Linked DNA regions of Sus scrofa. The main gene of each other region encodes a partner of the protein of the gene in region 2 in a complex. Links are inferred from orthologs where the notes say so. Each region holds a gene or a part of one and is shown on either strand. Other genes may lie near its edges.

Region 1 (3,648 bases), on a different chromosome or scaffold from region 2:
AAGGAGATGCCTCCTCTAACGATGAGCCTTTCAAATGGCCCCGATAAACAGTAAACTGCTTAAAATGAAGAACTCTGCTAGAATAACTCTGCTCTCCTAACCTTATTCCTAGAAGACTACCTTTCAAAAGTCAAGCTAGGATATCTAAACTTAAATAAGAATTTAAGCTACAAGAGGGCAATGATTTTTGTCTGTTTTGTTCAATGTTATGTCACCAGGGAGTATCATATTATTTAAACCAGTATTTCCCAAACTTGCCCAATGATAACCAACATTCAGAGAACTTAGCAAAATATGGATTCCCAAGTCCCACACCTGGACCATTTAAGTCACAATCTCAAGAGAAAAACCTCTGGGTTTCACCATCAGATATCATATTCTACTTCAATTTTCATGTACATATCAACTTCAAATCCAGTTTACAGTGAATTCCCAAACACTGATCTGGACCTACCAATTCTAATTCTTGGACTTGGGCAAAAGAAAACAGAAGACATAACTATAACACTAGGTTATAATGACCATGACCAACTTTTCTCAACACTATGTTCCCCGGTGCTGACACATTCAGTCTAGGCAATCAATGAAAAAGCCAATTTTCATCTTTCTTTGAAATATCCAAGATTCTGTTCATGTTCACGGTTCTTTCTCCACATCACATGGTACTGGTTTTATCCTCCAACTGACCCTCTCTAGTTAAATATTTTCCACTCTATCCTTAAACATCTCTTAAGACATTAATGTTAGTATGAATGGTAGCAAAACTATAGCAGTATTCTGTATAAGAAAAAATATCTTTCAAAGATTTTAATAACAAAGCAGTTATTAAAACAAAAATGTTTCTAGAAAAAAAAAAATGTCAACTTAACCAAAACTGAAAAACACTGATCGGTGTCCTCCTACTCACGTACCGAGATCACAACAATACCTTAGTAAAGAACAATGTTCTAATGATGAACTTTGAAAAAAAAAATAACATGCAACCAAGGAAATAGTAGAATACTAATCTTAAAAAGGGTTATCTTTCCAGGAAAGGAGAAAAGGCAATTTTGAGAACTACACACTTATAAAAGTTACTGTCAGTTTGAATAGATGAGAGTACCTTGTACCCTTTACGAAATTCCAGAAAGTACATTATTAAATCCAACAGAGTGAAACAGTCATGCTAAACATAGCCATACTACTGCACCATTGACCATCTAAAATCATCAGCCCTGCTTTTCTTTAGATCTTATATGCTAAATAGCACATCACAGAGAATGGGAGGTTCTTACAATGGCACCACCATTCATTGTCCTACAACTTCTTTTACTATTTTTCAAATCAGATGTTAGATCATATGACACAAGCAGAGGCTGTGCAGTAGAAGAATAGCGCAGTATAGTAACATACTCAAAATGTATCAAACATTTCCCATCTTACAGTTTGTAACCAATCTGCCCTCACCCCCAATCAGTGGAAACTTCCCAAAACTATCAAGACTACTCCTACCAATGATATAGAAGTAGTATAAGTAAGGAAACTGGGTTCTGATCCAGATTTGAGTAAGAATTCAGATTCTGAATTGTTTCTAAAAGAAATACCAGGCTCAAGGCTACTATTACTCCTCCTATATATAACTGATAAAAAGTTCTATGGGCTGACTAGAAACATAAGCATTATAAAATACTGATATGAAAGGAAAAGGCACTCAAGTTTCTAAAAAATATTTTAGCACTTTTGATGTGTAATCTACACATAAACTGAAGTATGACCATAATAAAAATCTCTTCACAAGAAGAATAATTATTACAACAGAGACATGTATGTTTCAAATTCCAAAGTTTGAAAGCAAAATTAAGATACGGTTATTTATTCTACTGATACTTTCAATACCCAATTTTCCAAATTTCAAAGTAGTGCCAGTCGTACTTTTCAAGTAACATCTCTAAAACTCAAAATATTAGAATTTAAAAGTCTTCTTTATCCTGATTTTTTTGCCCCATTTAAAAAAAAAACAAAAAAACAAAAACACCTTGTGAAATTTAAGGTTTTAAGTATTTCCAGGATAACGATACCAAATTTAATTAGAATTTCATTTGTCACATTTCAGGGAAATTCACTTCTAAAATCAAACTAAAACAGGTTTGAATTATATTTATTTCCCACTTACGTCAAATTAAATTTAAAATTAAACTGCCAAGTTGAAGTTCCTGGAGGGTATTCTCCTTGCTCATTCATAAATGTCAGTCCTAGCTGAATTATCTTTAACAAGTCTACATTACACCGCAATAGTTGGTACTGATAGTCGGCATTACTCCTGAATTCTCCAATGGGTCTTGCAACCACACCTGGAAACTCGGTGTCCTGTAAAATATTTTAAGGTTTATTATTTACTAAATGGTTGAAAGCACAATCCACAAATAATTAAAATAATTAATTTGGGGTACAAGTCAAAGACTCTTGATATAGGTGATGTTCTACACAATTCATATTCGATTACAAAGTACCTTTTAACTAGGAAGAGCATTACTTTTTAGAACCATAAAATAAAACTCTCCAAACTTAAATGACTTCTTACTTTAAATACTGCATCAGTAAAAAAATTACTATGTGTAAGATACACACAATACATGCAACTAAGTATTCCCAAGGAAGGAGGAAAAAAATCACAAATACATGTTGCTCACAGTATTCTAATGCTAAAATCAATGAAGAACTGGTTAAAAAGAATAGAAAATGCATCATACTTTCCAACTGCTTTTCTGAAATAAGGTTTATCTAAACACCAAAACCTTAATTTCTTGTGCTAAACAGTATTCTTTTTACAGTCCAAAGAAAGCATGACCTTAAAAACTTCATGCCACCACTTATTCCTGTAAAATGTTATGGCATCTCTAATGTTTTTCATTCCTTATCGCCTGAGAAATAAATTATCTGAATGAATTTCTACTGGAAAAAAATAACTTCAATTCTAATTATGGGTGAGAACATCTATTATATAAAACATTATCTATGTACACTCAAATATTTATATTTTAACAAACTACCTGCTCCTCTCAAAAAAAGCATATTTATTTTCTTATGTTCAATATACTAATAATACATCAGTTTAATATTAAAATGCAAATTAGGAAACTAAAAACAAAACCTAAATAACAACTTACTCTGAAGCAGTAAAGAAATTAAAACTTTTCTAAATTCAGTCCAACTCAACAACCACTTTATTGGATGCAACGTGTTAGGCTAGGTATTGGGGGTGGGGGGAGAAAGGATGATTAAGACACTAATCCCTTCTTGAAGCTAATAATCTAGAAAACAGCAGGTTCACCAAGACAGTGCCAAAGAAGCAAAATAATTAACTGAGTAGACAGTCTAGGCAGACTGAATAGTATATGCAAAACTAGAAACACTTAACAGCACAGTGTGTTCATGGAAATCCACTGATTAAAAAGCAAACACAAAACTGCAAATCAACAATGCTTCACCGGGAGATCAGAATTTTTTGGTTTGAGAAAAGACAAACAGGAGCTCCATCTGGTATTAACATTAAGCCTTAGTGTTGCTTGGAGCAGACCTGGCATTCACAGCTAAGTCCTAAGGTTCTTCTGCTGAATATAAACAATTTCACACTCTTAACATCAGACAAGGCCACTTTGTAATCATGAC
Region 2 (3,648 bases):
GGAGTAGACCGGCAGCTGCAGCTCTGATTCGACCCCTAGCCTGGGAACTTTCATATGCGAGCGGCCCTAAAAAAAAAAAAAAAAAAAAAAAAAGCCTAAATAAATACAGTGTGCTTCCACATACACAGATATCAGGAACAAGCATGGTTAAACTCTAGGCATGCTCAAGAGGGAGGGCTAGACAGTAGACAGCAAACTATTAACAGAAAACTCAGGTTAATAATGGGGCTGGAGGGCAGTAATTGAGAAATGCACAGGGAACTTCTAGGTCCTAAAAATATTCCTCCTTCCCCCTCCCCTTTTTACAGCCACACATGTAGAACACAGAAGTTCCTAGGCTAGGGATGGAATCAGAGCTGCAGATGCCAACCTATGCCATAGCCACAGCAACACCAGATGCGAGCTGCATCTGCAGCCTATGCTGCAGCTTGCAGCAACACCAGATCCTTAACCCACTGAGCCACAGGGGGAACTCTAATATTGCTCTTCTCAATTTTAATGGTGGCTGCTCCAGATCTGCTTTAAGAGACCATTAACCCAATGGAAAAATGGCTAGAGACATAAAAGATGTTTAACCTTATTCACTTCATAGGAAAAATGCAATTTTTTATCTCATTTTGCTGAAATACAAAAGGTAGGAAACATACTATTGACCAAGATATAGACAACATTTTTAAATTGGCACACTGTGGTACAAGCGTAGGTGTTTTGCAGAAATTTTAACAAGATAAAATTCTGCCCCTTGTATTTATTTCTGTTTAATTTGCCTGCTTGTTTTCTGAGAATTAGGAAAATGCAACCGCATCAGCCATAAATACACTTTGGTCGTGGATCCCATGAAGACATCTGAATCTCAGGCCGGCTGCTGTAGAGATCAGCTGTGTAGCCAGCGCCAGAGAAGATGGTGCATGCACTTTTTTTTTTTTTCCTTAAGTACTTGTGAAAAGACTGGATTAAGACATCCTCAGTCTGGGCAGAGGACAGCAAAGAGCTTAGGGCTCTTTGCTTAAGAGGGTAGCTGCTGTGCCAGGCTTCTCCGTCCTAATTCTGGTCACCTATTTCTCAGCTTGACATAACTTTAAAAGTTTTGCATTGGCTGATCGGTCATCACAGTTGAAAAGGAGATCAGATCCAATTCTTTATTGAATACAAAGCCAGAACCCTCAGAATATACACTGCTTCTAAAAGTAGGACTGAAATTGCTCATCATTTCTCCAACCAGTTTTCATCCTGTGGTTAAGGAAACAGTTGCTTTATGTCTGTAAATAGACTGCATCTGGCATTGTGGCTAATAAGCACTTTTACACAAACCATGAGACCCATGCAACCTTCAATCTTAAAAGTCTGAAAAAGATTTCTCTTGGTCACAGAAAATTGTTATATTATTAGTATCTAGGAGTTCCCACTGTGACACAGGGGTAAAGAATATGACTTCGGCAGCTTGGAGGTGCTGGGAGCAAGGGTTCGAACTCTGGCAGGGTAACTTCCATGTGTTGTGGATGTGGCCATTAAAAAAAAAAAAAAACTAGTAGTTTAAAAATGAGGTTTAGAATACTCCAAGGAGGAGTTCCCATTGTAGCTCAGCAGAAATGAACCCAAATAGTATCCATGAGAATTTGGTTTCAATTCGGGCCTTGCTCAGTGGGTTAAGGATCTGGGGTTGCCATAAGCTTTGGTGTGGACTGCAGACATGGCTCAGATTTGGCACTGCTGTGGTGTAGGCTGGCAGCTGCAGCTCCGACATGACCTCTGATCTGGGAACTTCCATATTCCATGGATGCAACCCTGAAGGAAAAAAGAGAATACTCCAAGGAAAAGTTTATTGAAAGATGTCACCTTATATAAAATGCCAAATGTCACAGGTGCATGAAGTCCAAGAAGGAGGGTGTGCTGTCAAAACTAACCCTGAAGCTCATGTATTCACAAGGTCATGGGTTCATGGATCTGGCTAAAGATCAGAATTTCCCCATTGAAGCACTCTTAGGCGATGAGACCCTTGCATCTCAACTTTTGCTTAAGGCGCCACAACAAGAACTCTGGTCCCGTTACTTTCCATCACATCACAAGTGGGCTTCAAGAACACCTCTATATTTGCTTGTATATGTAACACAGAAGGTGCCAAAATGTTTAAACAAAGGAACAAAGTGGAGATCTCACACACTGATTTCAAAAAAGCTACCGTATGGCTTGTTGGATTGGTGTCTAGCTCCCTAAATAAAACCTTTTTTACATGTAAGAAAAAAAAAAAAGACCTACCCTGCCTGAAAATGTGGTACTAGAATAAAGACAAACTGACATAGAAAAGAGAGCCCAGAAATAAACCCTCCCATATATATTCAAATGATTTTCAACAAAGGAGCCAAGAAAGCACTGTTTACTATTCAGGGTCCCTTGAGGTTCCATATGAATTTTCTATTTCTGCAAAACACACCGTTGGGATTTTGATAGAAACTACACTGAATCTGCAGATTGCTTTGAGTAGAAATGTTATCCAGGAAATTTTAAATAGACCAAGTTTTATTCAGCATTTTTCTTAAATAAGGAAAGCAATCGATTCAAGTGGAAACTGAAAATGATATGTCTATCCCATAACAGCAAGGATCCAGTACCAAATCTATGCTTTTCATGGAAAATACATTTTGGCATAAAGACCTTCATTTTAAGTGGAGCATCGCAAGAAAAAAGGCCTAATGCTACCACACAAGACCACCTGAGGCAGGATCCCTCCTTACCGGCCAAGGCCAGCTGAAGCCCGCTGATGTCCACGGACTGGCCCATATTTCCGACATCCATCAAGGCAATCTGTCGAGGGGTCTTTTTGAAGAGTTCCCTTGGGGGTGCCAGCATCAGCTGGGAAAGAAAAAACTTTTCTGGTGGAGTTATAGGAGGTAAAAAGCCTGTAAACAAAAACGTATAACAATTTCTCTAATAGTTATTTTTTAAAATTATCTTAAATCTGCTCAAATTAGCATTTGCTCCTTGCCACCTCAACTCACCTCTTTATTTTTATTTATTTTTTTTGTCTTTTTGCCTTTTCTAGGGCCGCTCCCGTGGCACATGGAGGTTCCCAGGCTAGGAGTCTAATGGGAGCTGTAGCTGCCGGCCTACGCCAGAGCCACAGCAACTCAGGATCAGAGCTGCGTCTGCATCCTCAACCCACTGAGCAAGGCCAGGGATCGAACCCGCAAACCTCATGGTTCCTAGTCGGATTCGTTAACCACTGAGCCACGACGGGAACTCCAACTCACCTCTTTAAAGACAAAATTTTAATTGAAGATTCATTTCATCAAATTTATTTATGCAAATGTAATTAAATAGGAACGGTTCCAGGACCTGCTGTGAACAGCAAAATCCAAAGGTACTTAGGTCCCTTAAGTAAAGTGGTGTAATATTTGCATAGAACCTGCACGCATCCTCCCTTATACTTTATAAATAATCACTACTCACAATACCTAATACAATGTAAATGATACATAAACAGTTGTAAGTACTATGTAAATACTACATAAGTACAATGGAAATACTATGTAAACAGTCACCAAAATTTAGGGTTTGCTTTCTGGAACTCTCTGGAATTTCTTTTGCCCCTTGAATATTTTCTACCAGGGGCTGACTGAATCCTAGGATGCAGAACCTGAGGATACAGAG
Region 3 (4,328 bases), on a different chromosome or scaffold from region 2:
TACGCCGCCGCGGGGGCCGCCATCCTCCCCTCCCCGGCCCCCAGGAGCCCCAGCCAAACAGTGTCCCAAGACACCACCCTGGACGGAACCGCAGTTCAACCAGTTCTTAAAACCACTCATGTGGCCCAGGCCTGTGAGCTGGCTCCTACAGAGCCAAGAGCTCTGGGTCACGAAGCCAAAGAAAAGGAAAACTTGTGCAAGAACCAGGAGGAAGGAGGCGGCCCGCAAGGTTCCAAACTCTGGTCCTCTCCCTCCCACCGTCTCCCGTTATCTTCGATTCTCTTTCCGGATGACTCTTCCACTTAAAACCACCCTCAGCCCTCTCCACCTCCTTTTAACTACCCCCTTTTTTTTTGAGACAGACCTAAATTCGAAATCAGGACATGGACTAGCTGTGTTTGGCTTTGCATAAGTTACTTAGCCTCTCTCGTGCCTCAGTTTTCCCTTCTTGTAAAATGGGTTTAATGACGGTAAACATCTTGGAGGATTGCAGTAGAGGTTAACAGAATGAAACATACAAGGTGCTTTGTAAAGTCCGGGCACACATCACTAGAATATTACCGTGTGGCAGTGGTAGTTATTACGGCTATTATTCGATGGGCCTCTTTTTGTTTTCACACACCCAGTCCCTCACGCATACTCACACTCCTCTTCCTCCCGCAGGCCCTTAAAGCCTCCCACACACTCTCATCCCACACTCCTCTCTGATTAGCGCGGGCTCGCTTACCCTGACCCGCAGGGCCCGCGAAGCGCGGGCAGACGGGCTGCGGGGCAGACTCCCCGGGAGCTGTAGCAGCTGCCCCGACCCGACGTTCTTCTCACCCTGCCCGGGATCCGCTCCTAGAACCAAGCGGCCTAGTGAGATGGGCGCCCTCGTGCCCAGAGCGACCTTACGCACCACCCACCAAACAATCTGGTCGTACCACTCTATCCATCCGATCCGCCCGACTCGCCTGCTCTCTTCGCGTCACAGCAAACGCGCGCGCCTGACCCTCTCCGCCCCTCCCCTTCTGCGCGCCCCCGGAGACTCTGTCCGTGTTCGCTCAGCGCGAGAGCTCGCGAGAGCGACGCGCAGGCGCAAAACCAAGAGCGAGTCGCGAAAAAGGCGGGGCGGGGCAACCTCGGAGGAGGCCTTCGGAACCTTGCCTCCACCCACCCCAAGCCTACGCGCGATTAGTTGCGTCGGTTCAGTTCAGTTTGAGGACCGCCCCTCCATGTCGGTTCCCCTTCCGCGCGCTCGGGAAGGGGCGTGGTCTAGAACTAGCCCATCCCCGCGGGGGGCGTGCCTTGCTAGAGCAAAGGGTGTGGCCCGTCTGACCAAATACCCTAAATTACCAAAGTCCCTTCCTCCCTTCTTTGAAAGACCGTTAAAATCGTTGCCGGGAGCGAAGTTGGGGGCAGGATCGCTGGGGGAGCTCCTGACCCCCTTCCTTCTGTACTAACGCGGCCCCACTTACAAAACTTCTGCCTTAAGCTTCCTTTCCGGCAAACAATTGTTTGTGGGTGGGCCAGCACCCCCAAACCGAGTCTGGGTGACGTCCGCCGAGGCCCGCCTCCCTCCTCCCACCCTCGCCGGTTTGGGCAGCCAGCATTACCATAGCAGCCAGCCCGCTGGGGTTTGCTCGGGTAACAAAGAAGACGCTGCCCGGTGGGGGAGGCACTGGGCCAGCGCTGCCGCCCTCCCGCTTTCGGAGAACCTCCGAGACCTGGCGGACGCTAGGCGAGCTCGTGGGATCCTCCATACGAGAGCAGTGGTGCCCCGGCCTCGCTTAGCAGTATCCTTTTAGCCCCCACCTTCCCTCCGATTCACTGTGAATCCTATTTGAGAAGAGAGCTCTTTGCCAACACCTGTCCTTGGCAGTATTTGACCAGGCGGGGAAGGTTCAGCGCTGCCTCGCGTTCTCCAGCTGTGGGAGAGAAGACAAAGCGCTGGTTTCCCGCACACAGCTGACAATTCCAGGCCGCCCTCAGTCACCGGCTCAGAAACTCCACTCTATCCCTGAGGGACGGTGCAGCAGACTCCGCAGAGCATGGCTCTAGTTACACTCCTAGATGCCTCCACTCGAAGGGGGCTGCTGATAAGTGGATTTCAAATTCACCCCCGAATCACTGCGCCTTTCTACGTTTAAACATTACCTCCTAAAAGCAATCTCTAAAACCCCACATCCGTTTCCCAGGCTGGAGGCAGGGCAAGCCTTCATCGGCAATTCTAACCTAGAGTCCCAAAGGCTAGTCTCCAGGAAAGTGCACTCCCAACCCATCAAATGCACCTTCTGAACACGCCTCCTCTTCTCCCCTCCTGATGAGTCTGTTTCCTTCTCCCATAACATAGAGATATGAGTAACAATCTCACACAATGTCTGTGTTAATACATAGGAAAACCACACCGCACTAAGGAAGATATATAAGTGTATTCAACCAAGAAATGTTCCTAGGCGTTCCCTTCGCAGCTCACTGGTTAACGAACCATGAGGTTGCGGGTTCGATCCCTGGCCTTGCTCAGTGGGTTAAGGATCCAGCGTTGCCGTGAGCTGTGGGGTAGGTTGCAGACGCCGCTCAGATCCGGCGTTGCTGTGGCTCTGGTGTAGGCCAGCAGCTATAGCTCCGATTGGACCCCTAGCCTGGGAACCTCCATATGCCTCAGGTGCGGCCCTAGAAAAGGCAAAAAGACAAAAAAAGAAAAGAAAAAAGAAGTGTTTCTGGCCTGCCTCAGTTTGTCATCCGTGAGATATCCAGTCTGTGTTAGTGCTGCAGACTTAATCATTCTGTTCAGCAATACTGTGCCGAGAAAGCAGGCAAGACGCTCCTTTCCCCCGTCCTGTGAGTTTCTAATGTCCTTTCATACACTTGTAATTACTTTCAGGAGAGGATAGCCCTCTGGGGATCTAGTCATGTGAGGAACAGCTTGTTTTTTCCTGCAGCACTGGTCCTGGTGTCTGCTGAAACAATCAAACAGGAAACACACTCCATCTCCTACCCCACAATACCCCCTCTCCCAGAACTGTGTTCATTTCTCAGGTTACTGAAGGTAAAGGTAAAATGAACACACTGATCGCTTGTATTTCCAGAGAACTTGGAGTATTTGTGGAACAACGGATTTTATGTTGCACTTAGGCTATTGCAAAACTGGAACAATTGTGTAAACCGCTGATGGCAGGGAGAAGCACCAAAGGAATCAAAGGGTAGGTGGAAAAGAACATAGTCAATAATATAATTTCACATTTTAAGGGAAATGCAGCGACACTGGATCCTTAACTCAACCTGCTGCGCCACAAGGGAACTTCCAAAACGATTGTTTTTGAACTACAGACTATGGAAAGTAAGGCTTGAACACATCTTCTCAGCTGGGGGAGTATAGGTATAAAAAAACAGAAACATTGGTTGCAAAATGGGTCTCTGTAAGAACCAGGCAGGCTGATATCCTTAGCTAGACAAACCTTTCTATTATTACCAATTCTAAGTAAATCTAACAAGGTACATTTCTTAAGCTAGGAAATGTGTAGGAAAAGCTAAAATACATATTTGTGTTTGAAATATTTTGAAAGTGGGGCAGAAGGTAAATGCCTCCAGGCATATAATACCACTCACTCCATGAGCCCAAGTTTCAAAACTCTTTTTTTCTTTCTGCTTTTTAGAGCCGCATCTTTGGCATATGGAAGTGGGAACTATATTCTTTTCCTACACCAGAGCCACAGCAACTCAGGATCTGAGCTGAGTCTGAGACCTACATGACAGCTCACAGCAACACTGGATCCTTACCCAGCTGAGCAGGGTCAGGGATCAAACCTGCAACCTCATGGATACCAGTCAGGTTCGTTATTGCTGAGCCACAACAAGAACTCCCTCAAAATTCTTTTTTTTTTTTTTTTCTTTTTGGCCACACCCTTGGCATATGGAGTTTCCCAGGCTAGGAGTCAGATTAGAGCTGTAGTTGCTGGCCTACACCACAGCCATAGCCACGCAGGATCTGAGCCACACCTGCGACCTATACCACAACTCCTGGCAACGCTAGATCTTTAACCCACTGAGCAAGGCGAGGGATCGAACCTGCATCTTCATGGATGCTATTCAGTTTTGTTTCCGCTGAGCCAGGACAGGAACGCTCCCCTCAAACTTCTTTACATTCCTTAGAGTAATGCTGACATACCTAGATGCCTATCAATTGAGTAATACCATTGTTACAGTGCCCTTGGCCTCAAGCTTAGCCAGGGTCAGTCGCCTTATTTAATGTTGTTTTTTTATCAGATCATATATATATCTTTACATTCAACTGAAGAGTGCACCCAGCTGGCTTTTTTCCTTGGCATTGGTGGAATTAACTTCCAGCT

Evidence for each region.
Region 1: CNOT11 (region 2) and CNOT7 share a complex: the UniProt entries of both Homo sapiens proteins name them as parts of the CCR4-NOT complex. The link is inferred for Sus scrofa from reciprocal best matches to the Homo sapiens genes CNOT11 and CNOT7.
Region 3: CNOT11 (region 2) and CNOT8 share a complex: the UniProt entries of both Homo sapiens proteins name them as parts of the CCR4-NOT complex. The link is inferred for Sus scrofa from reciprocal best matches to the Homo sapiens genes CNOT11 and CNOT8.

What each region holds. Positions count from the first base shown.
Region 1 is NC_010459.5:4,943,554-4,947,201, forward strand, and holds part of CNOT7 (CCR4-NOT transcription complex subunit 7), read right to left. Parts: intron 2,347-3,648; coding exon 2,153-2,346; intron 1-2,152. UniProt on the Homo sapiens protein: Has 3'-5' poly(A) exoribonuclease activity for synthetic poly(A) RNA substrate. Its function seems to be partially redundant with that of CNOT8.
Region 2 is NC_010445.4:53,074,695-53,078,342, forward strand, and holds part of CNOT11 (CCR4-NOT transcription complex subunit 11), read right to left. Parts: intron 2,898-3,648; coding exon 2,733-2,897; intron 1-2,732. UniProt on the Homo sapiens protein: Component of the CCR4-NOT complex which is one of the major cellular mRNA deadenylases and is linked to various cellular processes including bulk mRNA degradation, miRNA-mediated repression, translational repression during translational initiation and general transcription regulation.
Region 3 is NC_010458.4:68,349,191-68,353,518, forward strand, and holds the start of CNOT8 (CCR4-NOT transcription complex subunit 8), read right to left. Parts: upstream 2,831-4,328; 5' UTR 2,709-2,830; intron 972-2,708; exon of another isoform or gene 924-971; intron 912-923; exon of another isoform or gene 728-911; intron 1-727. UniProt on the Homo sapiens protein: Has 3'-5' poly(A) exoribonuclease activity for synthetic poly(A) RNA substrate. Its function seems to be partially redundant with that of CNOT7.